4 linked regions of the Astyanax mexicanus genome follow. The protein of the gene in region 1 purifies or fractionates together with the protein of each later gene. This does not show direct contact. Links are inferred from orthologs where the notes say so. Each region holds a gene or a part of one and is shown in the gene's direction. Other genes may lie near its edges. The genes, in order: nck1b, pdgfrb, pak1 and wipf2b.

Region 1 (7,035 bases):
TATTATATAAGACCAATAATGGTCAATAATGGTTACTAATTAGCTTGTAAATGCCTTAAAAATCATTAATAATCAGTTATAACACATACGTAGAAAGGGCAACAATGACCTGTTGTTTGCCAAATAGTGAACCCACAGCTATCTATATTGTTGCCTTTTCTACGTATGTGTTATAACTGATTATTAATGATTTTTAAAGCATTTACAACCTTATTAGTAACCATTAATAAACTAATAGTAAACCATTTATAAACCCTTTATGAAGGTAGTCTTATTTTAAAGTGGTACCCCAATCTGTACTTTTGGCAGTGTGGGCAGTGTGCGAAATCCTGCTGGAAAATGAAATCTGCATAATCTCCATAAACGTTGTCAGCAGAGGGAAGCATGAAGTGTTGTAAGATTTAAAAAAAAAAAAGTATTTTTAATTTTAATGCCTTCCATGATGTATTTACAGTACACACGTGACACTGTGGACCGAAGAACATTAAATCCCTGCACAACTTCAGAAATGGAACATTAGACATGTAGAAATTCCAAAGTCATGAGATAACACTTTGAACACATGGTCAATTTACTGTAAAAACAGTTATCTCATATCTTTTTAGCATGCCAATGTAATAATATTGTCTTACAATATATATTTTTTGTGTGTCAGCAGATCATTGAATCAATTAGCAATATGAAATATTATTTCAAAAATCACAATTTAACAATGATTTCCACTGTTTTTTCGTGCAGGTCTTCTCAATATGGTTCAGGCTAATCAGAGGGAAGCATGAAGTGCTGTAAGATTTTGTAGGAAAACAAAACTGCACTGACTTATACTCATTAGACTTGATAATAAAACACAGTGGATCAACACCAGCAGATGACATGTCTCTCCAAACCATCACTGACCATCAGTAAATTTTGCATTTCATTTATAAATCAAGGGAGCAGAGTCTGGTGGAAGAGTAAAGAGACACACAGTCCAAACTGCTTGAAGTCTAGTGAGAAGTTTCCACCAATCAGTGATGGTTTAGAGGAGAGACATGTCATCTGCTGGTGTTGGTCCACTGTGTTTTATTATCAAGTCAGTGCAGTTTTGATTTCCCTCAAAATCTTACAGTACTTCATGCTTCCCTCTGCTGCTGACAATTTTTATGAAGATGTGGATTTCAATTTTCAGCAGGAGATGGCACACTGCCCACACTTCCAAAAGCACCAATTGGTCTTATATAATATTCTAATTTTCTGAGATACTGATTTGTGTGTTTTCATTGGCTGTCATAAAAGTCATAATCTTTAACCATAAAATAATTACACCATAAAGTAGTTTTATCACTAATATAATTTTTTTCACATTTTAAAGTGAATTACTTTTCAGTGATATTCTAATTTTTTTTGAGGTGCACCTGTAATTAATACTTACAAATTAATTACGTACAAATACTTTTTGCCACATGGTGTACATCTTCCTTAACATTCACCCCCTGGTGTTGTCACCCATTAAATAGGCTGCTTTGCAAACAGGCCTATAATGCGTAATAGCAAGGCTGTAAAAAACAGGCTGTAAATCACAGTTGTTGTTGTCACCATGTTGGCTCATATTTGTGCATGTGGTTGGGTTATGTAAATGATAATGTGCCAAAAGCTTTTACGGATGGAGCAAAATTAGCATTTTAATTTTATAACCTCGAGCTAAAATTCATTAAATCTTCTCTCCACGTCTTTCTGATTAGGATTAGCTCACAGCTAATTAGCTCAGGCTTTATTACAGTGACTCTTCATGTTCCAGACTGTATGAACGGTTCATATGGTTCATACACAGTGTTCATACGTAGCACTATGCTGAGCATGTGTGTGTTTGGGGGAGGTTGGGGGGGGGGGGCTCTAGGACATGTACAGTGGGTCCATCTGTTTGTGCAGGAAACAGATTGCATCCTGGAGTGTGTTCTGCGCCCCTCCATTCGACTCCCTCGATTGTAAGAGGTCGAGGTGTGTATGAACAATATCGCTCACGGATGAGTGAAGATACAGTCAAAACAAATGCAACGATCAACAAGTACGTATTTCTGTTTAATTTAATGGCAAGCGGACAGAGAATAGAGTGGTGGAGGGATGACATGCCGGGTCTATCAAACAGGAAAGATGCTGTAATAACTGGGGTCAAACATGTAGGATATGGCATATTGCCTTATAATGATAACATGACACATAGTCATGCCACATGAAACAGGCCTGCTGCAGAAGCCTCATTTAAACTGATTTGATTTCTTGTCACATTAAATGTGGAGATCTTCAGTCACTCTTTGACATTAAAATGGAAAGTCTGATAAATAAGGCACATAAATAACAAAATAAATTAATAAATATTTAAATAAACAAAGAAACTAATAAATGAAGTTAAATATATAGTGCCTTTCTTGAAACCCAAGGACGCTTAACAATTAATAAGTTTTTACACACAACCATTCATACCCTGCACTCATCCACACACCGATGAGAAGCAGCAGCCAATAGCGCACAGCATACTCTCAACCGGAAACAACCCCAAAGTCCAACTGGAGAACTGCATCGCGCACTACAGCATTTACCCAGGACAGAGCGCCACACATACCTATACATACAGTACATATACAAATCAATTTAGATTTTTTTAATTTTCAATTGTTTTTTCTGGGCAATTTGGAGTATCCCATTTTCTTGATCTTCATTAAGGTTTGGAAAGCTGTAATAATTAATGGTTGGATTTGCTTCTAACAAAACCCTCCATAAAAAGACTATCATCTACTCAACAGAAATTGATTATGCAGAAGAGGTGCTCATTTCTAGTCCTGGAGACCTCCTCTCACCAATTATACGTTGTGTTGTTAGAAAATATAGAAAGTAGTGAATAAATACTGCTTACAGTACACTTTAGTGTAGTTTTTTTTCCAACTAGCTTTAAGGTGTACACAATATGCACATCAATACGCAAAGTAGTATATTTACAACATAATTCAAATGTATTAAAAAGGTGTTTAAAAAACACATACTTAAATCTACTTAAGTTTGCAGAAGTTGTACGAAATAAACTCTCAAAAGCTGCCAAAGCAACAAATAAAAAGTTTACAACAAGTATGTATGTTTATAGTAATAATATAAACAGTCAAATATACTTCTTTACATACAGCTCTGGAAAAAATAAAGAGACGACTTCAGTTTCTGAATCAGCTTTTTTTATTTAGCTATTTATAAGTATATGTTTGAGTAAAATGAACATTGTTGTTTTATTCAGTAAAATACGGACAACAGTTCTCCCAAATTCCAAATAAAAATATTGTAATTTCAAGATTCAGATCCTTTTTTTAATCACAGTTTTCATGCATATTGGCATGTTCTCCTCCACCAGTTTTACACACTGCTTTTGGATAACTTCATGCCACTCCTGGTGCAAAAATTCAAGCAGTTCAGCTTGGTTTGATGGCTTGATTATGTTCCAGAGGTTTTCAATGTGGTAAAATGGAAGAATCTCATAATTTTCAAGTGGCCTCTTATGTTTTTTTCCAGAGCTTTAATTTTGCACATATGCATATTTCCATTTACATAGATATATAACATGTAAGCCACGTGCAAACTGTGTAACATTAAATATTAAAGCTGAGTAAATAAATGAATAAAGGTTTGTTGAAAAAAAAATAGTTTGTTGCCAGAGGGCAACATTATGCCATAGAAAGAGGGTTAAAAAAAACCTTTCCATTGGAAACAAACCTGAAACATGCAGCAGGGCCACGCATCTTTATGATTGACGTACAAATTAGCCAATAAGGGGCGTTCTCTCTCGCTGACAACCAATGAGAATCGAGTCTGAGCGTTCTGACTCCACCCAGTGACAAAAGTTAGCAAGAGGCGGGAATAAGCGTGTAGTGGTCTTTAATGATAGACGCGGGAATCTTCAAATGAGAGGATCTGCTTTTCCATACGCGAACCAATGAGAGTCGGGACTGAATCGGTGGCTTTCCAATGGGAAGTTAGATAGCGGTTGGGGGGCGGGGCTTTGTCCCGCTGGATGTGCTGGAATAGCGTCCCATAAAGGCGAGTGACGGTTGGCTGTAGAGCAGGAGGGCAGCGTTAGCTGAATGTTTAATATAGCGCTATTATTATTGTTTTCTGGATGTTTATGGTTCATAAATCGTGTGAATAAACGTGGGCAATATATTCGGAGAGGCTGGTTTGAAGGTAAGACCTGGAAAAGGTTTATTTAGTAGCTTATTTGAGGCTGTGGTTTGGTTGGATGGCTGTAGTAGTTAGCTAGCTGAGATGCTAACCGCAGACCCCGCTGCTGTTTCTAGCTTTAGTATGAGAAAAACAGGGAAACGGGGTCTTGCTGGGATTAAACCGGATTAAAACGTGTTTTTCTAAATTAAATACACTTTATCGGTCTGTAAATAAGATGGTAAGATGTATGAGAGATGGAGTAGAGGTGAATCACGCCGGCCTGGCACCGTTTAAATCACGGGCTGCTCTGTTTTGTGTTGGTTAGCTGTCATGCTAACCATCATTGCCACTGTTCACTGACCTCAAGCTATTCCTATATACCTACTGTAACTAGGGGTGGGCAGTATTATATCGTATACAATATATCGTCACACAGAAATATCATGGTATTAAAAATCCATGTCGTGATAATAGGGCTGTTCTGTCTTAAAAGTAGTCTATTATTTACTGTGAAGCTTTAAGTGTAACTTAAAAATACCCTGAAATATCGTGATATTATTTTAGAGCCATATCGACCACCCCTAACAGTAACTATAGCTAATGTTACCTATTAACCCATATCTCCCATGTCTTTTATTTAGACATTTCTATATGTTATCCTTAAATTTCATAGCTAAACTATTCCAGTATTATTAGACCAAAATGAGTGAGGCACTAAATAAATATTGGTTGTTGACCTGTGCTGTGTTTTTACTGCCAAATACCAACCACATATCATCACATTAAAGTGTATATATAAGCTATATAGATATATTTAACCTCTCATTTCTGCTGTTAACGCCATATATTTCTATATGAGCTATTCAGGATGTATTCAGATTAGACCCAGCTATGAATCATGTGTAATACAGGATGTTTCATTATATTGCTTAGCTAAAATCTTAGTGAGGATCTAAGTAAATATAAGTTGTTGACCTGTGCTGTGTTTATCCTGTCAAATACCAAATATCACATTAAACTAAAGATGAACTAGTTATACACATTTAACCTCTCATTATACAGACTAGACCTAGTTATACAGTTGTGGTCAAAAGTTTACATACACTTGTAAAAAAACATAATGTTATGGCTGTCTTGAGTTTTCAATAAGTTCTACAACTCTTATTTTTCTGTGATAGAGTGATCGGAACACATACATGTTTGTCACAAAAAACAGTCATAAAATTTGGTTCTTTCATAAATTTATTATGGGTCTGCTGAAAATGTCACCAAATCTGCTGGGTCAAAAATATACATACAGCAACAAAAATTGTCAATTTTGGTGATGTAGCGAGTTGTGTCAATCAGATTAGCTTCATGTCATGGCCTCTTCACTTCTTGTAAGTGATTCTGATTGACTACAGCTGTTGACTTCTCATGAGCCCATTTAAATAGGGCTCATTTGACCCAGTGATTAGACTCAGCTACAAAAGCTACAATGGGAAAGTCAAAGGAACTCAGTGTGGATATGAAAAAGCGAATTATTGACTTGAACAAGTCAGGGAAGTCACTTGGAGCCATTTCAAAGCAGCTACAGGTCCCAAGAGCAACTGTGCAGACAATTATACGCAAGTATAAAGTGCATGGAACAGTTGTGTCACTGCCACGATCAGGAAGAAAACGCAAGCTATCACATGCTGCCGAGAGGAGATTGGTCAGGATGGTCAAGAGTCAACCAAGAATCACCAAGAAGCAGGTCTGCAAGGATTTGGAAGCTGATGGAACACAGGTGTCAGTCTCCACAGTCAAGCGTGTTTTACATCGCCATGGACTGAGAGGCTGCCGTGCAAGAAAGAAGCCCTTGCTCCAGAAAAGGCACCTTAAGACTCGGCTGAAGTTTGCTGCTGATCACATGGACAAAGATAAAACCTTCTGGAGGAAAGTTCTCTGGTCAGACGAAACAAAAATTGAGCTGTTTGGCCACAACACCCAGCAATATGTTTGGAGGAGAAAAGGTGAGGCCTTTAATCCCAGGAACACCATGCCTACTGTCAAGCATGGTGGTGGTAGTATTATGCTCTGGGGATGTTTTGCTGCCAGTGGAACTGGTTCTTTGCAGAAAGTAAATGGGATAATGAAGAAGGAGGATTACCTCCAAATTCTGCAGGAAAACTTAAAACCATCAGCCATCAAGGTTGGGTCTTGGGCGCAGTTGGGTGTTCCAACAAGACAATGACCCAAAACACACATCAAAAGTGGTAAAGGAATGGCTAAACCAGGCTAGAATTAAGGTTTTAGAATGGCCTTCCCAAAGTCCTGACTTAAACCCCATTGAGAACATGTGGACAGTGCTAAAGAAACGGGTTCATGCAAGAAAACCATCACATTTAGCTGAACTGCACCAATTCTGTCAAGAAGAGTGGTCAAACATTCGACCTGAAGCTTGCCAGGAGCTTGTGGATGGCTACCAAAAGCGCCTAGTTGCCGTGAAAATGGCCAAGGGACATGTAACCAAATACTAATGTTGCTGTATGTATATTTTTGACCCAGCAGATTTGGTGACATTTTCAGCAGACCCATAATAAATTTATGAAAGAACCAAATTTTATGACTGTTTTTTTGTGACAAACATGTATGTGTTCCGATCACTCTATCACAGAAAAATAAGAGTTGTAGAACTTATTGAAAACTCAAGACAGCCATAACATTATGTTTTTTTACAAGTGTATGTAAACTTTTGACCACAACTGTACATCATGTGTGATACAGTATATTTCATTACAAAAATATTTAGTGAGGCACAAAATAAAAATGGGTTGTTGAGTTGTGCTGTATTTATCATGCCAAATGTCATTTACAAAGTAAAGCTAACCTATA
Region 2 (7,123 bases), on another chromosome or scaffold:
CATGGAGTCGGTTTCTAACCGTTTGTGCAGACACATGCACATTTGTGGCCTGCTGGAGGTCATTTTGCAGGGCTCTGGCAGTGCTCCTCCTGTTCCTTCTTGCACAAAGGCGGAGGTAGCGGTCCTGCTGCTGGGTTGTTGCCCTCCTACGGCCTCCTCCACGTCTCCTGGTGTACTGGCCTGTCCCCTGGTAGCGCCTCCAGTCTCTGGACACTACGCTGACAGACACAGCAAACCTTCTTGCCACAGCTCGCATTGATGTGCCATCCTGGATGAGCTGCACTACCTGAGCCACTTGTGTGGGTTGTAGAGTCCGTCTCATGCTACCACGAGTGTGAAAGCACCACCAACATTCAAAACTGACCAAAACATCAGCCAGACAGCATAGGTTCTGAGAAGTGGTCTGTGGTCCCCACCTGCAGAACCACTCCTTTATTGAATGTGTCTTGCTAATTGCCAATAATTTCCACCTGTTGTCTATTCCATTTGCACAACAGCAGGTGAAATTGACTTTACTTGGAGTTATATTGTGTTATTTGAGTGTTCCCTTTATTTTTTTGAGCAGTGTATTAAGATATTTGGAGAGCATTATTAGTATTGTGACATTCTGGATCATTGACTTCTGTTACAAATCGATTAAAATTCTTGTATTTTTTCAATATTTCAGTTAGTGTTGTGTCAGATCATATCGTATGCAATAATATTTCAGTGTTTTATCATATTGCCAAGAGTATCGATATCGTGAAAATAACATGAAATATAATGATATTATTTTAGGGCCATATCGCCCACCCCTAGTGGCCAGACAGGGACCTGCAGGCAATGGATAAGAACCTGGGGTGTCTTTCAATGCCAAGAACACAAAGAACTAGCTTGTGTTCTTGGGCAGAACGTTGGTAAAACTTTGCAATAAGTGTACATTAATGAAATGCTGTGTACTTGCTATTTTATTGTATTTACAATACAAGGGCTTAATAACTATTGATTGTTTGTCTGAACATCTTTTCATCATTAGTGTAAATACAGTAAATACTTTTTATTTCAGTTTGTTTTGTTTGGCAAATCAGTTTTGTGGAAGATTAAGAACACATCCGGGAACTTGAACTATTCTTGGTCATTATTGTCTTGAGTATTAGAAAGCAGCTTAAACAGAGGAAAATGATAAGAACACACGGTTGCAAAAATACACAAGAACACACGTTGAAAACAGATCTGGCATTCCCCTGGGCAAAGAGTATTCACAGGTGCAATGTGGTTTTCAGTTCTCAGAATGCTGTGAAGTTTTGTTTTTAACATTTTGGTTTTAATGTTGAACTGGGAAGTGAGAGTACCCGCTAAAAAGCTAAAATTACATTTTCTGGTAAAAGTTTAGATTTATCGTAACCAGCTTTACACCTACCACAATAGCCTGTTAATAAAGGATTTTTCAAGTTCCCAGTGTTTAAAATATGGCCACATATAGTTACAGTTTTTTTTCAATTGCTAAAACACTAAACCCTGTTGTCTAAAGCAAATGCTCTTTGCCCTGAACCCATTTATTTAAATGTTCACTCTTTTGGCAGAACCTTGAGCACTTTTCATGTAGTTAGACACAACTTGCAAACATATTTTCACTCACTAAAACACATTTTGCACTGTGATGCCCTTGGGCTGCATAATTGTGAGCACAGGTAGCAAAGTGAAACTCCTGTTTAGCACTTCTAGTACAAAAAAAAACATGCAGTTACAAAAAACGTACATGCACTACTAGTCCTACAAGTTTATTGGGAAATTAATGTAATAAATCACATTTGTATTGAATCATAATGCAAACATTTACCTGTTCTCCTGTCTAAATCTTCGGATTATGATGGACACTGTGAATCTGCTTATATTGGGCTGAAGTCAAAGTCCCGTTTCCCTCATTGTCAAACCGTGGACTAGAACATGCTGACAGTTGCCCAAATTTTATCTGAAATAATTGTTCTACCTCCTCTTCATCTCTTACCCTGCCTTTCTGATGGTTTCTGTCCATAGTGAAACATCAGTGACCAGAGCTTCTTGTCCTGGATTATAATGATGCCTTCTATCCTTAGACACAAGTGTGATCAATTTTGAGTTGCTATGTTTAAGTTGAGACACCTGTGCTTTCACTGAGTTTCACTTTTGCTTACCATTATGTTGTGCCCAAGTGCATCACAGTGCAAAATGTGTTTTAGTGGGTGAAAATATGTTTGCAAGTTGTGTCTAACCAGGTAAAAAGTGCTTAAGATTCTGCCAAAAGAGTGACTATTTTAATAAATGGGTTCAGGGCACAGTGTGTGTGTGTGTGTGTGTGTGTGTGTGCTAAGAGACATTGTGCTTGGAGGGCAGGCCAGGCTATAAGGGCTAAGTGTGTAGTTACCCCTAGTAATGAAAACTCTGCCTGAGAACTAGCCCTGTGTTGAGCCGACTTCACGCTGGATGTTTTCAGAGCTCTTTAATCAGCTGTTGGCTCGAGTACAGCACGGTGTGTTTCTGCACACTGCGGTTCAGTCCTCAGATTGCAGTAAACAGAAGAGTGAAGTGTAGCAGTGATTAAAGGGTTAAAATCAAAGAGCTACATCAGTGTTGAGATTCAGGGAGTGTGTTTATGAGATGTGACGGCTCTGTTCTGCTGGGTACCACAGTCTTTTATAATTACTGTCTGTTCTTCACGGGCCCTCGCATTCACTCACACAATTAGAGGAGTGAGTGTGCCAGCTTTTCTCTCTCTCTCTCTCTTACTCTCTCTCTCTCTCTCACTCGCTCACTCGCACACTCTGTTTTTGTCTTTCCAATAAAGAGAAAAGTCCTTACTCAGCTGCTGGAAGCTCTTATGAATTTCCAGCCCACTCTGCTGACTTCCTTGAAAGAGAGAGAGAGAGACAGGAAAAGAGAGAGCGAGAAAGAGAGAGAGATATTGTGAAAAGAGGCGAAAGAGTGCAAAAAAGAAGAAAAGGTGAGAATAAGAATGAGATCAAGTGAGCGAGAAAAGAGGTAACGAAAGAGAAAGAATGAAAAACAAAGGCTGAGAGGAAATAAAGAGTAGAATCAAGTGAGAAAAGAGATTAGAGAGAACTGAAAGGAATGAGTAATAATATGACAGAAAGAAAAAAAAGTTGGAAAGAGAGAGGAGGTAGAAAGTAAATGAGTCAGTAAAGATCTAGAGAGAGGAGACAGAAAGAAAGAAAGAAAAAAAGAATAAATAGTGTCAAAGAGTAAATATACAGTAAGAAAGAGAAAAAAAAAATAGAGAAAAACATCCAGTAAATGAGATGGAAATGAATGATGGCAAGAAACGAAACAAAAGGAAAGAAGAAAAAATAGAAATAGAGAGAGAGATGAGAGGGTCAGAGAGAAATAGCAGAGCGAAAAGAAAGATAAGGAGACAGATTTGTGAGATAGAAGAAAAGACAAAAATAGAGAGAGGTTAAAAAAGAGAATGAGAGAGAAAGAAAGAAAGAAGGGAAACAAAGAAAGAGATCAAGGTGTGGTAAACTGAGGATGAGAACTGTAAAGAGAAATAGTTTTAGAGAGGAAAGAAAGAGAAAGAGAGCGAAGGTAAGCAAGAGTAAGAAATGAGAGGGAGTGAAAGAGTGTCAGAAAGGAAAGAAAGAGAAAGAGATTAAGCGAGAGACAAGAAGAAATAGAAAAGTGAATGACAGACCATGCAGGCAGGAAAACAGCCAAGAGTGAAAACAGACCATGGTTCTGTGTGTGCGTGTGTGTGTACACGTGTGTGTGTGTGTGTGTAGGAGTGTATGCTCACACTCCTGTAGCCCCCTTCTCACTGAGCACCACAGCTGATACACCTTCTCTCCTCCAGAGCCCCCTATCCCCCCATCTTCTGCCCTGAGAGTCCTTTCAGCTTTTGCTTTTTACTTTTCTCTCTCTCTCTTTCTCTCTCTCTTTTTCTCTCTGTTCCTTGCTTTCTTTCTCTGCTCACTTTAGGAGCTGCCAGTTTCCAGGGAGGATTTGCTCTGTTTCCCTGCCACTCGTGATTTCAGTGAAAGAAACACAAAACCAGGGCTGTTGCTGAGGAGACCTGTGTGTGTGTGTGTGTGTGTGTGAGACTGTCTGCCATCTTTACTTTACTTGTTTTCTGGATTTCCACCGTAACAGACCCTCCTCACTGAAGGACTCATCACAGCAGATGATCTGAGTAGAGCGAGGAAGACTCTGGTACAGATCTTTAGATCTTCACCCTCCTCTGTTTTTCTGCTCTGTCTGTTTTTCTCTCTCTTTCCCTCTGTTCCCCCGGTGTCTCGCTCTGTCCTGGTCTGCCCTCCTCCTCTTTGTTGTTCTTGGTCGTTAGATGTTGAAGTGGTGGGCAGTGTTACAGCTCAGGTTGGGGTGAGTTGGGGTGAGTTGGTCTGAGCTGGGGCTGCTATCAGTAACTGGACCCCTTAGTAGACATCTGAGTAAAATAAACAAGAGCTCACATGAAAGCTTTTGAAACAAAAACAACTTACAAAAGATCTCCAGACAAACACAGAGATGTTTTGGGGAATGTTCTTAAGGACTGAAGTTCCAGACTGTATATAATAGTTTCAACGAAACTTTCAGTATTGTGTCCCTTGACTTTTGCCATGTCCCATGAAAGCTAAAGAGCGCTGCACTGTCAAAGCCTTTAATGATGAGCAGTACCAATCAAATGTTTGTATACACCTCTTTTTCTTCAATGTGTTTTCTTTCTTTTTATGATTTTTTTTCACATTGTAAATATAATATTGAAGACTATATTAAAGTTATACAAAAACAATGTAAAATTATTTTTGTAGAAAGAAAAAAAAGTTTTAAACAAACCAGAATATGTTTTATACTTAAAATTATTTTATGTAGCACATTTATGTTCTGTTATTTGTTTGTTATCTGTTTGTACTGAGCGGGTCAACCCGAGTAGGATGGGTTCCTCTGACTGCGTCTTGGTTCCTTCCAAGATTTCTTCCTCTTAAAAGGAGTTTTTCCTTGCCACAGGTCACCATAAAAAATAGCATCTCTGTGGTGCTGCTCATAAGAGGCGTGGACCTGTTTTTCTCTGTAAAGCGGCTTTGTGACAACCTTTGTTGTAAAAAGCGCTATATTGAATTATCTTTGAGGACAGATCTGCACACTCTCAGTATTTTGGTGTCTTTTTAGATTCAACTTAGATTAGATTCAACTTTATTGTCATTGTGCAGTGTGCAAGTACAGAGCCAATGAAATTGAAGGAGTTCCTGAAGGTGCTGCACAATAGTTGCTGCTTTTCCTTCACGCTGTGAAGCTCCAGCTCAAAGCAAATCACCATGTCAGTTGGGATTAGATCAAACACTTTTTTTTTAAACTGTATACTATGTAATTCTACATGTGTCCCTTAACTTCATTACTAATTCTCATGTCTTTAATATTAATCTACAAAGTAGAAAATAAATTAAATAAAGAAATAAAGAAAAAACATTGAATGTGACAGAGTCTCTAAACTTTTCACTGGTACTGTATACCCTGTACACATGACAATGTGGATAAAGGAAATGGAATGTCCCATCCCTCTAGAGTTCAGCCTGAGTTTGGGCATTCCCAAAACGTTCACAGAGATAACACTTCATGATTAATTTACATACTGCTGTCCCATGACTTTTTGCATGTGTGTATGGATTTGAGAATTTTTTATTGGACCAATTATCATGTAAGTTTGATACAATAAAGAACTGACCAATTAAAATAGTCAAAAAGTAAAAAAAAAATAAAGATATGGATATTTAAAATATAGAAATAAAGCAATGTCCATGTGTGTCAAAGAAAATTCTAATTCATTTGTATATGGTTATTTTTTCATCCTATCATTGTTTGTTTAGAAACAAACTGGCTGTTTTTGCTAAAAGCTAAAGTCCAAAAACTTTTGTTTTAACGTTTTCAGTGTGAATGGGTGTGGCTAAACTGTTTGATAGGTAAGATAAAGTAATCAGGTATAATTATGTACAGTATATGTATATTTGTATCTATATGCGCTTGTACATAAGCATGTAAACATGTATATCCATTTATATGTGTGTGGGGAGTCAATGTCCATGTAGTATTTCTGGATTTAAATCTTAACTTAAGTACATTTTTACACAATACAGTGTATCTGTATTCTGTGTTCTTAGGCTACTTCTTAACAGCCTATCCATCACACATAAAGAACAGTCTAATTAAGCTTTGCGTTGACGTTATGCTCAGACGTCACACGGTGGCACTGCGTCAAGAAACATATGTACTTTTTTATTTATTAAAATAAATTAGAATGGTAAAAACAGTTTTTGAAAACATTTTAAATAAATTTTAAGCATTTTTATGTGATGTTATTATTTTTCACATTGTACATTTAGAGAGAATTCTGAGTAAGCTCCATGACAGATACATCAGTTGCATCCGTTCATATTGGGACAGTTTTTATGAAGTTTTTATGGCGTTGGGACCCGGCTATTATAAAGGAGTAAATGTGTAAAATGGCAAAAATGTTTAATCAAATAATCAAATTATAATTCAAATTTTAATCAAGCAAACCATGTTTTTTGGCAAGATATGGACAATTTGAAAGAAACAGTAAGATATTTCTCAGTTTATTCTTATGTCTTTTGGAATCAAAACAACATTTATAACTTTTATTTATTTTATATAAATTTTATTGAAGTTTTTCAAAAGCATTTCACAAAAAACAGCACATACAAAGTTTTTCAGTCATGTTTCTTCAACACATCTTTTGTTTCATACAATAATAAAATTAAAAGTAAAACAAACATATTACATTAACATAATCGTTTTTTTTTACAAGATTCGAAACATTTAAAATAAAACAGGTATATTGCCAACATCTTTCAAATATTTTTCAAATTCTTTTCTTCTTTTTTTAATATCAACAAGAGCTTGTTTTAATACATAAAGACGTAAAATTACACAGTTATCCATATTTTATTTTTTATAATACATATCCATATGTATTACAAATTTATTTGGGATCTTGAGAGGCTTTCTTTAAAGATAACTAAAAGATAACTTTTACTCCTAAAGATTCCTGCATTAATCCAAAGCTTAATTCTCTAGTTCAGTGTTTCTCAACCAGGGTGCCGCGGCACCCTGGGGTGCCGTCTGGCTTCATCGGGGG
Region 3 (7,862 bases), on another chromosome or scaffold:
CCATGTCCATAACCCTATCCAGATTAGTTTCACACTTCTACTCAGTGATAAAATTCTTGCATCCGGACTGCAATTGAAAAAACAGGAGGACCAGTGAGTTTTTTGGCTTTCTTGGTCACATGACATTGTGTTCAGTAGCTCCTCCATTTCCACTCACTGTTGTGTTTAAGTGGATCTGTGTGGAAATGCGTGCCCAAAGTGTGTGGCAGTGGACACATAGCTATTTTATTAAATGTGGGTGAGGAGATGGATTGTTACCTGGATTGTGTATAAACTTATTTAACAATAGGAATCCATATATTTTTTTTAAATAGCCTTACTCAATGGCTTCACATCAGTCTTTCTGAACTCGGTGTGATTTGGGACACAGGGAACTAAAGGAAGGCACTACTTAGGGTGCTAAATGTGCGATTTGGAACACAGCCAAAAGAGAGAGACTGACCAACCTGCATAGGCAGCCGCTGTGATCACGGCCGCCACCGCGTGCACCCTGAACGTCTCCCGCCAGCCGCGCGTGCACGAAGCGGTGGCGTGCACAGCAAAGGCGCATGCCATCTCTACGCCCGCGGCCGCGAGCAGGGGCGCGCTCCCCACGGGGCTCGCGCACTTGAACGCTGATGCCGAGTGCCGCGCGTGCAGCTCCGAGAGCCCGCGAGCCCACAGGCGGCGCACGGCGTCCCGAGCCGCCACTGCGGCCACGAACTGGCAGGCCACGCGCGCAACCAGAGTTCGCCATCCTTTACCGTTAGAGTCCGAGTCACCGTCCCGGCGCCGGAGGAAGCGCTCGAGCGCGCCGGACGGGTTGCACGTAGCGCCGCGCGCTGTGAACGCCTGCACCACTGCCGTGGCGTATGTGAGCGCGAGCGCCACGGGCGGGGGCTGCGAGACCCCCGCGTCTCCCAGCAACTTGAGCTCGTGCGTGCACGCGCACAGCTGCAGCGTGGAGATGAGCTCGGCCGCGTACGCGCCGGTACCTGCCCCGGCCCCGAACAGTAGCCTCGCGCTCGCGCGCCTCGCCAGCTCGCACGCGAGGACGATTCCCGCGAGCACGAGCAGAGAAACCGCGAGGTCCGCCATGGGGAGGTCCGGTGGGGCGTGCGTGGCCTGATTCACGCCTGATTCCCGTTAATCCTCCATCTCTCCTCCGGAGAACCGGCTAAACACAGGCTAACGGCTTTAGCCTATTATTTTGCGCCCGTATCCCGATAAACCACGCCCCCCCCTGTTTTGGGATTTGTCAGTCTCTATCCACACTTAAATACTGTCCGATGATTGGACATCATCACCACTAGTTTTCATCACCACAGTAACCAGAATGCAGTGCAGCATCACCTGCTAATGCTATTAATGCTGTCCATGCACTATTTGCAAGACTGCAACTAGATTCTTTTTGAGATTAATTCCTATCATGCTTCTGGTGGAGTTTACATAAAATACATATAACATATTAAATATCATAGACTTACAACGTTTGTCAGATTGTGAGGTCGGAACTAACTTGTATAATTTGTGTGGGGAAAAGAAGCTTATAGTCAGAGTTGAACACAATATAGACAGAAATAGACCTGACAAGACAAGACAACCATATATAGCTCTGTGATAAAATAAGAGATCACTTCAGTTTCTGAATCAGTTTCTCTGATTTTGCTATTTATAGGTATATGCTTCAGTAAAATGAACATTGTTGGTTTATTCTATAAACTACTTGACAACATTTCTCCCAAATTCCAAATAAAATTGGTCTATTTAGAGCATTTGTGTGCAGAAAATGAGAAATGGCTGAAATAACACAAAAAATGCAGAGCTTTCAGACCTTAAAAATGCAAAGAAAACAAGTTCATATTCATAAAGTTTTAAGTATTCAGAAATCAATATTTGGTGTAATACCCCTGGTTTACAATCACAGTTTTCATGCATTGGCATGTTCTCCTCCACCAGTCTTACACACTGCTTTTGGATAACTTTATGCATTTACCCCTGGTACAAAGATTCAAGCAGTTCAGCTTGATTTGATGGCTTGTGATTAACCATCTTTCTCTTGATTATATTCCAGAGGTTTTCAGTTTGGTAAAATCAAAGAAACTCATATTTTTAAGTGGTCCCTATTTTTTCCCTACAGCTTTATATATAATTTTAGAAATGGTGAGAAAATGATTGAAATATTCAAATACGTCTCTTCCCTAATATCATAAAATCATTCAAGGATATCAAGGAAAGGTGACATCCTTGTCTTGCAGTGTCTTTTTCTCCAACAAGACAATATCAATACTGCAGCTGGCCTGAAGGTGATGCCAGAACACTGTGTAACAGTCTAACAGCGTTATTTCCATTAACAGGCAGAAATGGCAGTCTGTGTCCAGCTCATTCAGCTTGCAGTAATTCTCAAGGGAAATCAATAATGTCAGCATCGCAGCCTTACATTTACGATCAACAATAAATCACAGACCAGTATCTACACGATAACGTTTGGACTTGCATTATTTATAACGTTTAGATGATTATAGCAAGGTAAATGTCTAGTAAGCTGACCAAAAATCACTTTTTAATTTCCTAGTGTAATATGTGATACTACATATGTAATATATATTAAAAAAATATATATATATAATTGGTTAAAGTGCTTTGACCAACAGAGAACGTTATAAGAATGTTTAGCAGCATTTTGAAGATGTTCCTTCCCGGAACATCTTCAAAATGCTGCTAAACATTCTTATACAGGTTAGCCTGTAATTTTATATAAATAATGTTCCAGGAACGTTCTGAAAAGAGTGACATAATAAATGTTTGTTATTAGAACCTTTCTCACGTAACGTTCCCAGCCAGACGAATACTAACGTTATGGAAACGTTAAACGTTAAAACAATTCCAAAGCTAAAAATTAAAACACTGATACAATTGACGTTGCAGCGACGTTACCAGAACGTTTAAAAACGTGAATTGTAACCCTTAGAAATTGTTCTACTGAGAGAACATAAATAATGTTTCAAGAACGTTTTAAAAAAGTGTGACATAATAAATGTTTGTAACACAACGTTATTAGAACGTTTCTCACGTAATATTCCGGCTAGACGAATATTAACATTATGGAAACTTTAAAAGTAACAATTTCAAAACTAAAAATTACATTGCAGCAAATGGCAGCAAAAGTGCCATTGCAGCAACGTTACCAAAACATTTTAAAACGGTAATTGTAACCCTGAGATTTTTTTCTACTGAGAGTTTTGACTACAATTAGCATTTTAAAAATATGTTTTAATATTTTGTTCATGCCATAGAACTCTAATGTTCAGTGACGATTAAATAACATATATAAAACAGTTTAAAATAATATCTTGCAAAAAATATTGACACAAAAAAAAAACAAATAAACCCATAGATTTTAATAAAATTTATTATTCCTGGACGGTGCTTATCAGCACTTCTTACAGGAAATTGAGTAGAACACGTCACCGTTGGTCAGCTCTGCCTGGCAGTAGTATTAGAATAGGGTTCATGAATATTTAAAGAGGCCCCGCCCTCGCTGTGCCCATATTCCATGAAAGCCCCGCCCACACCGGCCTAAGGGGACAGACAGGCGTCCACCTCCCACCTCTATTCCGACAAACCCCGCCCCCTCTGCTGCTATTGGCTAGTAGTTAGGTCATACTCTCTCCGCCGGGTGGACGGTGAGGAGGGTAGAACTGATGGGATTGGTTGATATATATGCAATGAATGTAGTACATTTTGTAGTTTTTAGTTAGAGGTTTTTATTTGAGCATTTTTTTTGCCTTTTGTCCCTTAAATCAGGATAGAAAATAAACGCTAAACTCCAGCTTGTCTATTTCACTGAAATTTTGTTTTACTGAACAAAACAATACATTCACAAGCAGCAGTCCCAATATTATATACAGGTGCTTCTCAAAAAAATTAATTGTATTATTGAAAAGTAATTTTATTTCAGTAATTCAGTTTAAAATGTGAAACACATATATTATATAGATGTATTACACACAGTGTGATCTATTTATTTTATTGTTGATGATTATGGATCACAGCCAATTAAAAACAAAAATCAATGTCTCAAAAAAAATAAATATAATATATAAGACCAATTGGTACCTTTGTCAGTGTGGGCAGTGTGCCAAGTCCTGCTGGAAAATGAAATCTGCATCTCCATAAAAGTTGTCAGCAGAGGGAAGCATGAAGTGGTAAGATTTTGCGGGAAAATACTGTACTGACTTTGGACCAAAACCAGCGGATGACATGACTCTGGGAAACGTTGGCATCAAAATTGTTAGAAAACGTTTTACTAACTAAAATTGTTCACTGGAAAAGTAAAGATTAGTAAAGAGTTTAGAAGAGTAAAGACTCTATTCAATAGAATATTGTATTTTTATTTGCCAATTTGCCAATTTGTCCACTTCTTTTTTATTTTATTTTTGAGATTTTTGAACTACTGATAACTTAAGGCCCTTCTGATTGAGAAAAAACAGTGAAATTTAGAAATTCTATTTTATTTTCATTTTCGTAAAATATATACTGTTTGTGTCACATCACGACCAGTTCTGTGGATTTCGTTAAACTACGTCTACTTAACAACCGGTAAAATGTGCACAGTCTTTGTTTTTTTTATTAAATACAATATAAAACGTTTACTTTTATAAAAACATTGAATAGTTGTATAATTAGAAATGTATACATTAAAAATGTATACTGCAGCGATAATATCCTAACCGTCCAATTACAATGCTCGCCTCCTGATCATGCAGACCAATCAGAGCGCAGGAAAGGCGGGGCACTTCGAATACGGGTGGGATGCGTAAAAATGGCACTGACGCTGACGGACCGAATTTGGAAGCGACCACTAGCAGAGCGCAGGGTGGGCGGGGCTCAATGCAGCAGGGTTGTGTGTGTGAGAGTGTGTGTGTATGTGTGTGTGTGCGCGTGCATGTCACACAATAGCGAGGATCCGGCAAGTTTAAGGTGAATGAGAGGGGCAGTGCACGCGGAGAGAGGAGGTAGAGAGAAGGAGAGAGGAGGTGGAGAACAAGAAGAAAACCGGATTGGGATTTATAATTCGGATCAGCTCCGGTTTCAGAGGTGAGTTTTGTTGGGGAGGGATTGGCACGCGTGGGTACGCACTCAGGCCGGGTACCCCTCTATCTGTCTAGGTATCTATCTATTTATCTGTCTGTCCATCTGTATGTCTATCTATCTGTCTACCAGTGCCCAGACTGGAGGGAGCGTGGTGTTAGGTGGTAGGCATTGGTAGACAGACTGGTAGACATACAGACAGATAGACAGACAGCAGGTCCTGCTATCTGCTGCTGGGTCTGAGCTGTAGGTGTGTGTGTGTGTGTGTGTGTGTGTGTATGGTACAAGAGTTGGCCTCATGTTCTCCAGTTCTTTTCCATTCCACCTTAAAATTCCACCTTAAAAGGTGCAGTCCATACACATACTGGAGAGTCTGAGGCTTCTACTGCTGGGTCTTAGCTGTAGGTGTGTGTGTGTGTATGGTACTAGAGTTGACCTCATGTTCTCCAGCTTCTTAGTTACTGGGATTTTCCATTCCACCTTTCCGCCCATACACATATACTGGAGTGCCTGAGGCATGATGAGACTGGAAAATCCTAATAAGATGCATAAAATTGAATCCTCTGACTTATTATAAGCCATGGGAATGAATAATTTGTATATTAATAATAATTTGATATTAATATGATATATATATATGCTGTGTGTGGACAAGCGTTGTCCTGCTGAAAAGAAATGTTTCATTACCTGAAAGATGAAACCCGCTCCATGACAGGCAAGACATGTGGCTGCTGAGCTGTTATTGTCTCTCGTATCACTACTATGGGTGAACAACTATAGTATGTGTATATGTATAATTTATTTTATTTTATTTAGAAGATGTATTAATTTTATTATAAACAAAATAAGCCTTGTATTCTTTACAATTTGTTAAATAAACTAAACCTTTTGACTAACAGGAGTATGTGTGGTTGGGGAACCAGGAGGGCATGGGGGCCTCGTTATTCTATGTTACGGGCTGACCTAGACCAGGTCGTAACAATATATATATATATATATATATATATATATATATATATATATATATAAATATAACACTTCATTCTAGATCCGGACTATTGCTGATAATTATCTGTCATTTAGAATAAAATAATCTCTGATAATCTGTGAGTACATTTAGCATGTGTTCATTTATGTCTTTTGCTAGTTGTAAAAGTAAAGTTAAAGAACTTCAGTGTATTGTTGGAAGATTTCTGAATGTTTATTTTAATAAATGTTTTATTTGAATTTCCTTTGGTACAAGTTGCTCAATTTGATCCACATTTGAATTCCCCTCCATGATGCTTTCATCTAGTAGACTGGAAGAGGTGATGAAGAAATGATCTGTTTATTTCATAGTTGATGCTGTTTTCATGAAGAACACACTTTTAAATGACCTAACCAATAGATACTGAGCTGTTTGCATTATGCATTTGAAGAAACAGTGAACTGACTAACCTACAAGACTTTAAACACTTAAATTTCATTACAGCATCACAGAAAAACATGGGTATCTGATATGATGCATGAAATGCTTCAGGTTGTTGTTGCAAAATTACAATACTACACACTACTCATGATGTGACACTCTATTGTGATACAGTACAATACATTACATTACAATACAACACAATCTGATACACTGCAGTTACACGCCTGAGTCTCAACCATGCATGAAATTGAATCTGGGTCTCTGCAGAGATGATCCAAACTGATCTTTTTACTCCCTCACTGATCTACTAGAGTGTGTGTGTGTGTGTGTGTGTTAGAGGTGTCACAATACAGTGAAAAAAAGTTTCTACAATAATATTAAATGTGACAGTAGTGGAAAACAGGCATTTGACTTAAATTGCTGATCACAGCGCACTACACCCACTAAAACACCGGTTTTGCCCTTTATGAAAATTGACCAATAAAATGCTCCTGAAAAAACTGGAATACAATCTTTTTACATTGACTTCCAGTGAAATCATAAACTGATCTACAGAAAGTATTATTATTAATTGCTTTCTGCCTCAAGATATCTGGAAAATACTGTTTCCAGAACTTCTTCTTTCTGAATATTATTATTATTATTATTATTATTATAAGAATTTCATTCTGATTTGAAACAATTCTTAAGATCTCTTTATATGAGAGTGATTTTGTGCATCAGGACATCATGAATGTGTTTTGTACAGCCCATATACCTATTCTTCTTTCTATTCTGTGTAAAAAGAGGTATGATTTATATAGTTTTTAATATTATTATTATTATTATTATTATTATTATTATTATATTTTTTCATTCCTCCACTTTCTCCCCAATTTACACAGACAATTACCCAACCCACTCATTAGGACTCCCCCTATCACTAATGATGCCCCAACACACCAGGAGGGTGAAGACTAACACACGCCTCCTCTGATACATGTGAAGTCAGACTCCACCTCTTTTTGAACTGCTGCTGATGCAGCATTGCTGAGTTGCATCACAGCGCAGGAAAGCGCAGCGACTTGGTTCTGAGCCCACAAGAGGTACAATATGTCCCCATTATCTAAATTTGTATACAAACTATTTAAAAAATATATATATATAATAATTAATAGGGGTGGGACAAAATATCAGTATCACAATATTGTTTAGCTGTAGTTTGTGATATATTATTGATACGTGGCGTCAAATATCAATATATTTATTAAAGCACAGGTGCTCTAGACTTTCTATGTCTTGCCTTGATATATCGAGTATTATAATAATGTTATTGTTATAGTGGGCAATTTAATGTGTTATATTATGTCCTGGGATGCCCTGTGATTCCCACCCCAAT
Region 4 (7,995 bases), on another chromosome or scaffold:
GGCACCGGGACAGGTGGAGCGGCTGCTCGGGGCACCGGGACAGGTGGAGCGGCGGCTCTCGGAAGCGCCGGGGCTTGTGGAGCGGCGGCTCTCGTTAGCGCCGGGGCTTGTGGAGCGGCGGCTCTCGGTAGCGCCGGGGCTTGTGGAGCGGCGGCTCTCGGTAGCGCCGGGGCTTGTGGAGCGGCGGCTCTCGGTAGCGCCGGGGCTTGTGGAGCGGCGGCTCTCGGTAGCGCCGGGGCTTGTGGAGCGGCGGCTCTCGGTAGCCGGGACTTGTGGCGGCTCCCGCTCTGGGTCGGCCTCGCTCTTTTCGGGGCCGTTCTCCCCCCTCCACGACTCGGACTCGGCCGCCGAAGAGTTTCGCCGGAGAGGCGGGGTGGAGTCGGACTTGAGGCCGGGCAGGGAGGCGCAGAACTCGTCCTCCTCCTCCGGGAAGATGCAGCAGCAGCAGAAGTCCGGGCCGGTGTGAGAGCACTCGGCCTCCCGGTGTCTGGGGCTCGGACACCACTCGCACCAGCCGAGTTCGGGGCGAGGCGCCCACTGCTGCTGCAGCCGCCTCTCGCTGGCGTCCTCCCAGCGCTGACGGAGCCACTCCGGCAGGAGAGAGGAGAAGGGGAAATCCCCAGCGTCACCGCTGCAGAGCGGTGGAGCGTAGCTGGGGGCGGGCTCGGGCTCGAGGAGTAAGGAGGCGAAGGGGAATTCCCCGGCGTCACACCAGAGCTGCGGTGAGTAGACGGGGCCGGGCCTCCCCTTTTTCCTCCCGCGAGGCATTTATTTATTTATTTTTTTTTTTTAGAAAAAAACAAAACGAAACTCAGGTGTGGCTTCGGGCGCCTCTGACTTTGTTCTCGCGGCTCCGGCCGCCTCTGACCCTGTTCCCGTGGCTCCGGCCGTCTCTGACTCTGTGCCTGCATTCTCCACCACTGTGGTAGGCCCCTGGGGTAAGGGGCGTGACCACAGTGACCCAGAAGGAGGAAGTACACAGAGAACACAGACACGGGGAGTAAATGAACTCAAAACGTACCTTTTATTTGCCTAAACGCCCTCCACCACACCCAGAACAAACTCAAATAAACATACTCAGCCCAATGGGGCTCTAGAGTCTGTAGAATGAACTTTAGTTTAAGTTAAAGGTCCGTGCAGCCTCAGCCCTCAGCTCCCCATTCAAGAGCCCCTTCAGTGAGCTGAGGCTGAGTTTTATACCTGTCCCAGCCGGCTGCTTAAGTTCCGGCATGGGGCGGACCCACGGTTCCCCCGCCTCCTCACGCCACAGTACACACAGCAAGTGAATGCAGGGAATGTTGCTCCAGGACACGGACTGAGAAACACTGGCATGAGAAAGCTTTACTTCTCATGTCATTTTGATGATAGTTGACTTTACACCCCCATTTTTCTCACATACTGAGGTAGAATCTGAATTGAGAAATACTATGAGGGGCATTCCTCTTGGTTCTCTGAACTGGTGGTAAGAGCCAGTGGTAAGAACTGGGGGTAAGAGCAGGTTGTAAGAGAACTGGTGGTAAGAACCGGTGGTAGAAATCACTGGTAAGAACTGGTGTTAAGAGCCGATGGTAAGAACTGGTGGTAAGAGCCGGTGGTAAAAAACGGTGGTAAGAACCGGTGGTAAAAAACGGTCGTAAAAAAACGGTGGTAAGAGCTGGTAGTAAGAACTGGTGGTAAGAGCCAGTGGTGGTAAAAGCCAGTGGTAAGAACTGGTTGTATGAGCCGGTTGTAAGAGAACTGATGGTAAAAACTGGTGGTGAGAACCGGTGGTAAGAACTGGTGATAAGAACTGGTGATAAGAACTGGTGGCAAGAGCCGGTGGTAAGAACTGGTGATAAGAACTGGTGGTGAGAACCGGTGGTACAAACAGATGGTAAGAACCGCTGGTAAGAACTGGTGGTAAAAGCCGGTGGTCAGAACTGGTGGTAAGAACTGGTTGAAAGAGAACCGGTGGTGAGAATCGGTTGTAAGAGAACTGGTGGTAAGAACTTGTGGCAACCAGTGGTGAGAACCTGTGGTAAGAATCGGTTGTAAGAACTGGTGGTAAGAACTGTTTGTAAAAAACTAGAGGTAAGAACTGGTGGTAAGAACTGGGGGTAGAAAACAGTGGTAAGAGCTGGGGGTAGAAAACAGTGGTAAGAACTGGGGGTAAAAAACTAGTGGTAAAAACACGTGGGAAGAACCAGTGGTAAGAACTGGTGGTAAGAACTGGTAGTAAGAACCAGTGGTAAGAACTGGTGGTGAGAGCCAGTGGTAAAAACTGGTGGTAAGCACCAGTAGTAAGAACCAGTGGTAAGAACTGGTGGTGAGTACCAGTAGTAAGTACCAGTGGTAAGAACTGGTGGTGAGAGCCAGTGATAAGAACTGGTGTCAATAACCAGTGGTAAGAACCGCTGGTAAGAACTGGTAATATTTGAAGTGATGTCCAGTACAGAATCATTACAGTCTGTTATTAATACAGCGCCACCTGAGGGCTTGAAGATCACCAGCATCCAGTACTGACCATCGGCCTTGTCTCTTACATACAGGAATTCTCCAGTATTCTTCAATTTCTCCATCACAGTATTTAGTTCTTTCTTGTTGCCGTCATGAAAAATAGGTTGTCAAAAACTTTATTTTCGTCCGTGTTTTCATTTAATTTGAAGGCACCCTGCCCTGTCCTGTTTACTACTTTGCCTTCTCCAACCACTCTCAATCCAATATAATGAACTTAACCAATCTTTCCAGAAGTGCAGAGAGCAAGTTACAGCAAGAAAAACTACTCAAAGAACAAGAAATGGTGCCTTCAGGACATAGATTGAGAAACACCAGCCTTTCATTTCAACACACACAATTCCCGAAAGCACATGAAGCAACATTATCAATACGTACACACAGCAAGTGAAAGTCAAGACTCAATCATTTTGGTCATATGCCTGTCACAATAACTACATTATCGACTTATCGTTCAATAAATGAACATGACCTCAATCATTTTAATAATCGTGATCTCGTCTATTGTGTTTGCTCTTACAAAATTCACCAACATATATTGTCACAGTGCGGCTCTAGACGCTTAACTTTAGTGCCTCTTGGGTTAATGTTGCCTCAGCCTTTCTCTCACATCAGCGTATCTCTCGAGTGAAGGCTAAAGGCCCTGTCCCACTGCGATTGTGTCTAAATATCCACTAAAGTATGTCCAAATTTCAGTGGACGCAGTTTAGTGGATATTTAGTGGATATTTAGACGCAATCTGGACGTATGTTAGTGGATATTTGGACGGCACCGTCCAAGTGGACGTAGTTTAGACGTTGCCGTCCACTTTAGACGCAAAAGTGGTTTTGGTACCTCCCAAAATTTTCGGAATAGACGGCGACTAATATGGACGTAATTTAGTGGATATTTAGACGCAGTACGGACGTATTTTAGTGGATATTTGGACGGCACGTACAGGTGGACGTCGACGTCCATAAAAATATTTTTCTGGCGTCCATCGCTTTACCATCAGCCGGTCATACAGTCCAAACTCCACCCGGCGTACAATCCAAGGGCTGGCCCATACAGTCCTCTCCTGCTGCCGCCTCTTCCTCCTCCCAGTCTGGTCCAGCACATGGAGGAGTATGTTCTGCTGCTGCACCATCACTGCAAGGAATCTGTGGTCCATGGTTGTGTAGAAGAGAATAGATGTGCTCTCTCTTGTAGCTCAAGAAGAAATGATGATTCACTAGAAAAAACAACCATATATAGTTGGAAGTGGACGTCCAAAGAGTGGAAGTCGACGTACAAATTTGGAAGTCGGCGTCCAACTTCAATTTAGACGGAATATGGATGTAATTTCACCATTTGGACGCAGTGCGTATATATTTTGGACGCAGCGCGTTCACTCAGTGGACGCAGTGTTTTCTGATAAATTTGTACGTACTTTAGTGGATATTTAGACGCAATCGCAGTGGGACAGGGCCTTAAGGCAGGGTCTTTAGGCTGGTCCAACATGGGCCAGCTGGGACAGACCGGGGGTGCACATCATGGTGTGGGGCAGACTCATGGTTCCCTATATAACATGCAATGGAAAGTTTATTGTCTTTAAAAGGGTGTAATTCCTTCATGATATTAAGGTATGATTATGTTAGTGCCAGTCTTAAAATTCCAACAATATTGTTTCTGCAATAATTTCTGGGACAACATATCGTTTGCTGAAAAAGGGTTATCGTGACAGGCCTAGTTATATGTGACAAAGATGTATAGTTTTTGTGGCAGATTTCTGTTTCATCTTCTCACAGACTTTAGGACACTTAAGGACTGTTTGATTCTTGTGCAAAACACAAGGACTGTTTGCTGTGTTCATGATGGACACAGAGCTGAAAAACACCATGGTAAGAACTTGTTGCCTAGACAGGCTGGAGCTGATCATATCATTGGAACTGGACAACAAACTGTTAACTGGACTCTGCTGATATATGTCATATTGATAGAATCCATTAAATTGCATTAAATCCTATTGATTTACTTACAAGTCATTTGCATAAATGTATAACTGCTTGGGTGAAGTCTGTGTTGGGTGAGGGGAGGAGACGCCCAAGGGTGCTCTGGCTTTCGTCTGGCTTTCTTTCTCTCTCTCTCTCTCTCTTTTTCTCTGGTTTGTCAATGTGTTGACCTATCAAGATATAATTGCACTATGTATTGACTCGTTGATGTACTGTACTTTTACTCTTTTCTAATGTATCTATTAATTTATGTTCTTTTTATATATGTGTAATGCTGGAACTATTTTTCCAGTATACTTTAATATTTTAAATTCTGAACTTTGACTCAATGGTCATCTTTTTTGTATGTAGAAAAAAAAAATAAAACTATAAATAAATATCAAAAATATTAGGTGAGAATGTGTGTCCAAACTTTTGACTGGTACTGTGCATGCACACTGACATAAATAAATAAATAAATAAATAAATAAATAAATAAATAAATAAATCTATCTATGGGCTTTGATCTCGGAAGTGTTTCCGGTTGAAGCGCAGTGATATCATGCGATAGAGGGAGCCCGTGGCGGCGCGCGCGGATGCCAGAGAGAAAAGTAGGGCTCATTTATTTACATTATTCTTTAAATCCGATTATAATTCGGATTGCGGGTGCGGCTGGCTCGAGTCTAGACGCGAAGCGGTGCTTTGAGCTTGAGCAAGAACCTGCTCTCGCGCTCAGGTGTGCGGTTCTGCATCCTGCACGAGCACTGCGCGCGCTGTGATTTTACGTTATATGTGTCTCGTGTTTGTTGTGCTTTATTGGGTCGTTTTAAACGGGTTTATTGGTGTTTTTGGTGCAAAGAGGTACTAATCTGCAGGAAAAACGTGAAATAAAAGAGAAATGGAGATTTTAAACACCCCAGGCCTGAATGTTGGCTAGCTACCGTAACTTGGGTGAATAGGCTTGGATGTTGCGCCCGTTCCACCTTAAATGGTGCTGCTTCTGCTGCATTTAAGGTGGAATGGTCGATTCTAATAAGCAAACTGCGGGTAGTTTTGCTGTTTTAGCGACAAACAAGACCTGATACAACACTTTTACACTTACTTACACGTCTTTCGACACTGCTTATCTGTTATTTGCCAGTTTCTTATCTTATAAGACATAAATTAACCCAAATTTAACTGACTTTAGCCAGCTAACATTAGCTAGTTAGCTAGCTTAGCTTTGCTTAACTAGCTACTTTCATTGGTTGTATTTAGCAGTTTTAAACGGGTTTAATGGTGTTTTTGGTGCAAATATGCAGAAATATGTGCAAAGAAAAAGTAAAATTATACATGCATACGGATTTTAAACATCACAGGCCTGAATGCTACTTAAGCTTAGCTGAATAGGCTAACATAATGCTTTTGCTGCATTTAAGGTGGAACGGAAAATTCTTATTAGAAGCAAACTGCAGATAGTTTTGCTGTTTTAGCCACAAACAAGACTTGACTACACTTTTACACTTATTTACACGTCTGTTGACATTGCTTCTCTGTTATTTGTCATTTTTCAACTTATAAGACAGAATTTAAACCGATTTAAGCTAGGTAGCACTAGCTAGTTAGCTAGCTTAGCTAGCCTTATTGGTTTTATTGAGACGTTTTAAAAGGGTTTAACTGTGTTTTTGGTGCAAATATGCAGAACTGTGTGCAAAGAAACCGTGAAATCATACAAAAACGGGGTTTTAAACACCACGGGCCTGAGTGTTAACATAGCTTAGCTTCTGCTGCATTTAAGGTGGAATGGTCAATTTTCATAATAAGCAAACTGCAGGTATTTTTGCAGTTTTAGCAACAAAAAAGAAACAACATTTTAAACGCATATAAGTTACACGTCCACCGAAATTTCCGTCTCTGTTATTTGCCAATTTCTTAACTAATTTAGCCTGATTTTAGCTAACCTTACCTTAGCCAGCTAGCGCTAGCTAGTTAGCTTAGCTGGCTGTATTGTTTTTATTGAGTCGTTCAATGCTACCTTGGGTTAGCTGAATAAGCTAAATATTGCGCCTGGTCCACCTTAAATGGTGCATTTTCTCTGCGGCCTTTAAGGTGGATTGGACAATTCTTCGCATGAATGTTTGCTATTTTAGCCACAAACAGGACTTGGCACAACACTTTTACACACATTTACGCATCTTCTGACACTTCTTCTCTGTTATTTGCCAATTTCTCACTTTATAAGACAGATTTAAACAGATTTTAGCTAGTTAGCACTTGTTAGCCTAGGCTGGTCACACAGTCACAGGCCTGCTGTTTACACCTGAGATGCTGCACTGAATCTTAACTGATTTAACCTCAGTCTGATACAAAAACACAATTATTGTTACGAAAAATGGGCCCAATCTTTAATATCTTTAATAATAGTTAATGCTGTTTTATATGGAAGCCCATTCCTGCAACCTAAATTAAACTGATATCTCATTATTTCTGAGATATCTCAAGATAACGGCTTAGTATCTAAAAATAATGAGACAGTATCTCAAAATGCTATTTTATTATAAAATAATGAGAGTATTTCAAAATAATGTGATAGTATTTTAAATAGTGAGATAGTATCTCAAATAATGAGAAAGTATCTCAAATAATGAGAGAGAATCTCAAAATAATGGCTTACTATCTGAAGACGACTTACTATCTCAAAACAATGATTTACTATCTTAAAATAATGGGAGAGCGTTTTAGTTAATAATAAGGAAAAAAATGTCCATCACACTCTTCACACCCTACGAGACTCAAGAGAACTGCAGACAAACTCCAGCCCAACTAAGCTTCTTTAATATATTTACATTCTACTGAAATATATTCATTTACAATCAGCATATATGCAGCTGCAACAGGGAACCGCCTAGTGCATCCCAAGCTCCAGATATTTAAATGAGGCACTGGGAACTTTGTGTTCATACACACAGTACCTTCAGCTAGTTCTTCTGGCCCTCCCAACTTTAAATTACAGTAAGTAACAATAAGTTGACTAAAATTGACGTAAATTTACTTTTATATTAATTTATTTTACTTTTTTTTTTAATTAAATTTAGAGTATTCAGAGGTGAAATGAGTTTTATATTTTTTCTTTTTGGAAGGCCCTGCCTCTGCTTTCCTTTTTTTTTTTTTTGGAAAAAAAAGCCTTTAAAAAAATTTAAAAATTGACAGTTACAATATCACCAAAAATTGCACAATTTCAAAAACATTTCATATCATATTACAATAATTATTAATATTGCCTCCACCATGATCTGCTTTCTCTCACTCACTGAACAAATCCCATCCGGGAGGGGGGAAAAACACTGCCTGCCCACACTAAAAACTGATTGGCTGTCTCACAGACTCTTTGCAGAGAACAGGCCAATCAGAACCCTCTCTGTTTTCTCTCTCTCATTCCCACACGCGATTAGAGAGAAAAAGTATGTCGCCTGTGTGCGCGTTTGGGGCTCTCGTTCTGAATTCCGGGAGATTATATGTGACTCGCGGGCATCAGGGAGCCACTACCGAAATGCGGGAGACTCCCGCAGCTTCA

What was found.
Region 2: the proteins of nck1b (region 1) and pdgfrb purify together in Homo sapiens (affinity purification with western blotting; 3 studies listed by BioGRID and IntAct, with this or other methods). This does not show direct contact. The link is inferred for Astyanax mexicanus from reciprocal best matches to the Homo sapiens genes NCK1 and PDGFRB.
Region 3: the proteins of nck1b (region 1) and pak1 purify together in Homo sapiens (affinity purification with western blotting; 8 studies listed by BioGRID and IntAct, with this or other methods). This does not show direct contact. The link is inferred for Astyanax mexicanus from reciprocal best matches to the Homo sapiens genes NCK1 and PAK1.
Region 4: the proteins of nck1b (region 1) and wipf2b purify together in Homo sapiens (co-immunoprecipitation; 3 studies listed by BioGRID and IntAct, with this or other methods). This does not show direct contact. The link is inferred for Astyanax mexicanus from reciprocal best matches to the Homo sapiens genes NCK1 and WIPF2.

Annotation. Positions count from the first base shown.
Region 1 is NC_064413.1:49,212,504-49,219,538, forward strand, and holds the start of nck1b (cytoplasmic protein NCK1), read left to right. Parts: upstream 1-4,034; 5' UTR 4,035-4,200; intron 4,201-7,035. UniProt on the Homo sapiens protein: Adapter protein which associates with tyrosine-phosphorylated growth factor receptors, such as KDR and PDGFRB, or their cellular substrates. Maintains low levels of EIF2S1 phosphorylation by promoting its dephosphorylation by PP1.
Region 2 is NC_064409.1:67,927,255-67,934,377, reverse strand, and holds the start of pdgfrb (platelet-derived growth factor receptor beta), read left to right. Parts: upstream 1-4,115; 5' UTR 4,116-4,182; intron 4,183-7,123. UniProt on the Homo sapiens protein: Tyrosine-protein kinase that acts as a cell-surface receptor for homodimeric PDGFB and PDGFD and for heterodimers formed by PDGFA and PDGFB, and plays an essential role in the regulation of embryonic development, cell proliferation, survival, differentiation, chemotaxis and migration.
Region 3 is NC_064416.1:5,300,700-5,308,561, reverse strand, and holds the start of pak1 (serine/threonine-protein kinase PAK 1), read left to right. Parts: upstream 1-4,855; 5' UTR 4,856-5,079; intron 5,080-7,862. Other genes in the region: aqp11 (aquaporin-11), read right to left, coding at 447-1,077. UniProt on the Homo sapiens protein: Protein kinase involved in intracellular signaling pathways downstream of integrins and receptor-type kinases that plays an important role in cytoskeleton dynamics, in cell adhesion, migration, proliferation, apoptosis, mitosis, and in vesicle-mediated transport processes.
Region 4 is NC_064410.1:61,184,499-61,192,493, reverse strand, and holds the start of wipf2b (WAS/WASL-interacting protein family member 2b), read left to right. Parts: upstream 1-4,994; 5' UTR 4,995-5,053; intron 5,054-7,995. UniProt on the Homo sapiens protein: Plays an active role in the formation of cell surface protrusions downstream of activated PDGFB receptors. Plays an important role in actin-microspike formation through cooperation with WASL.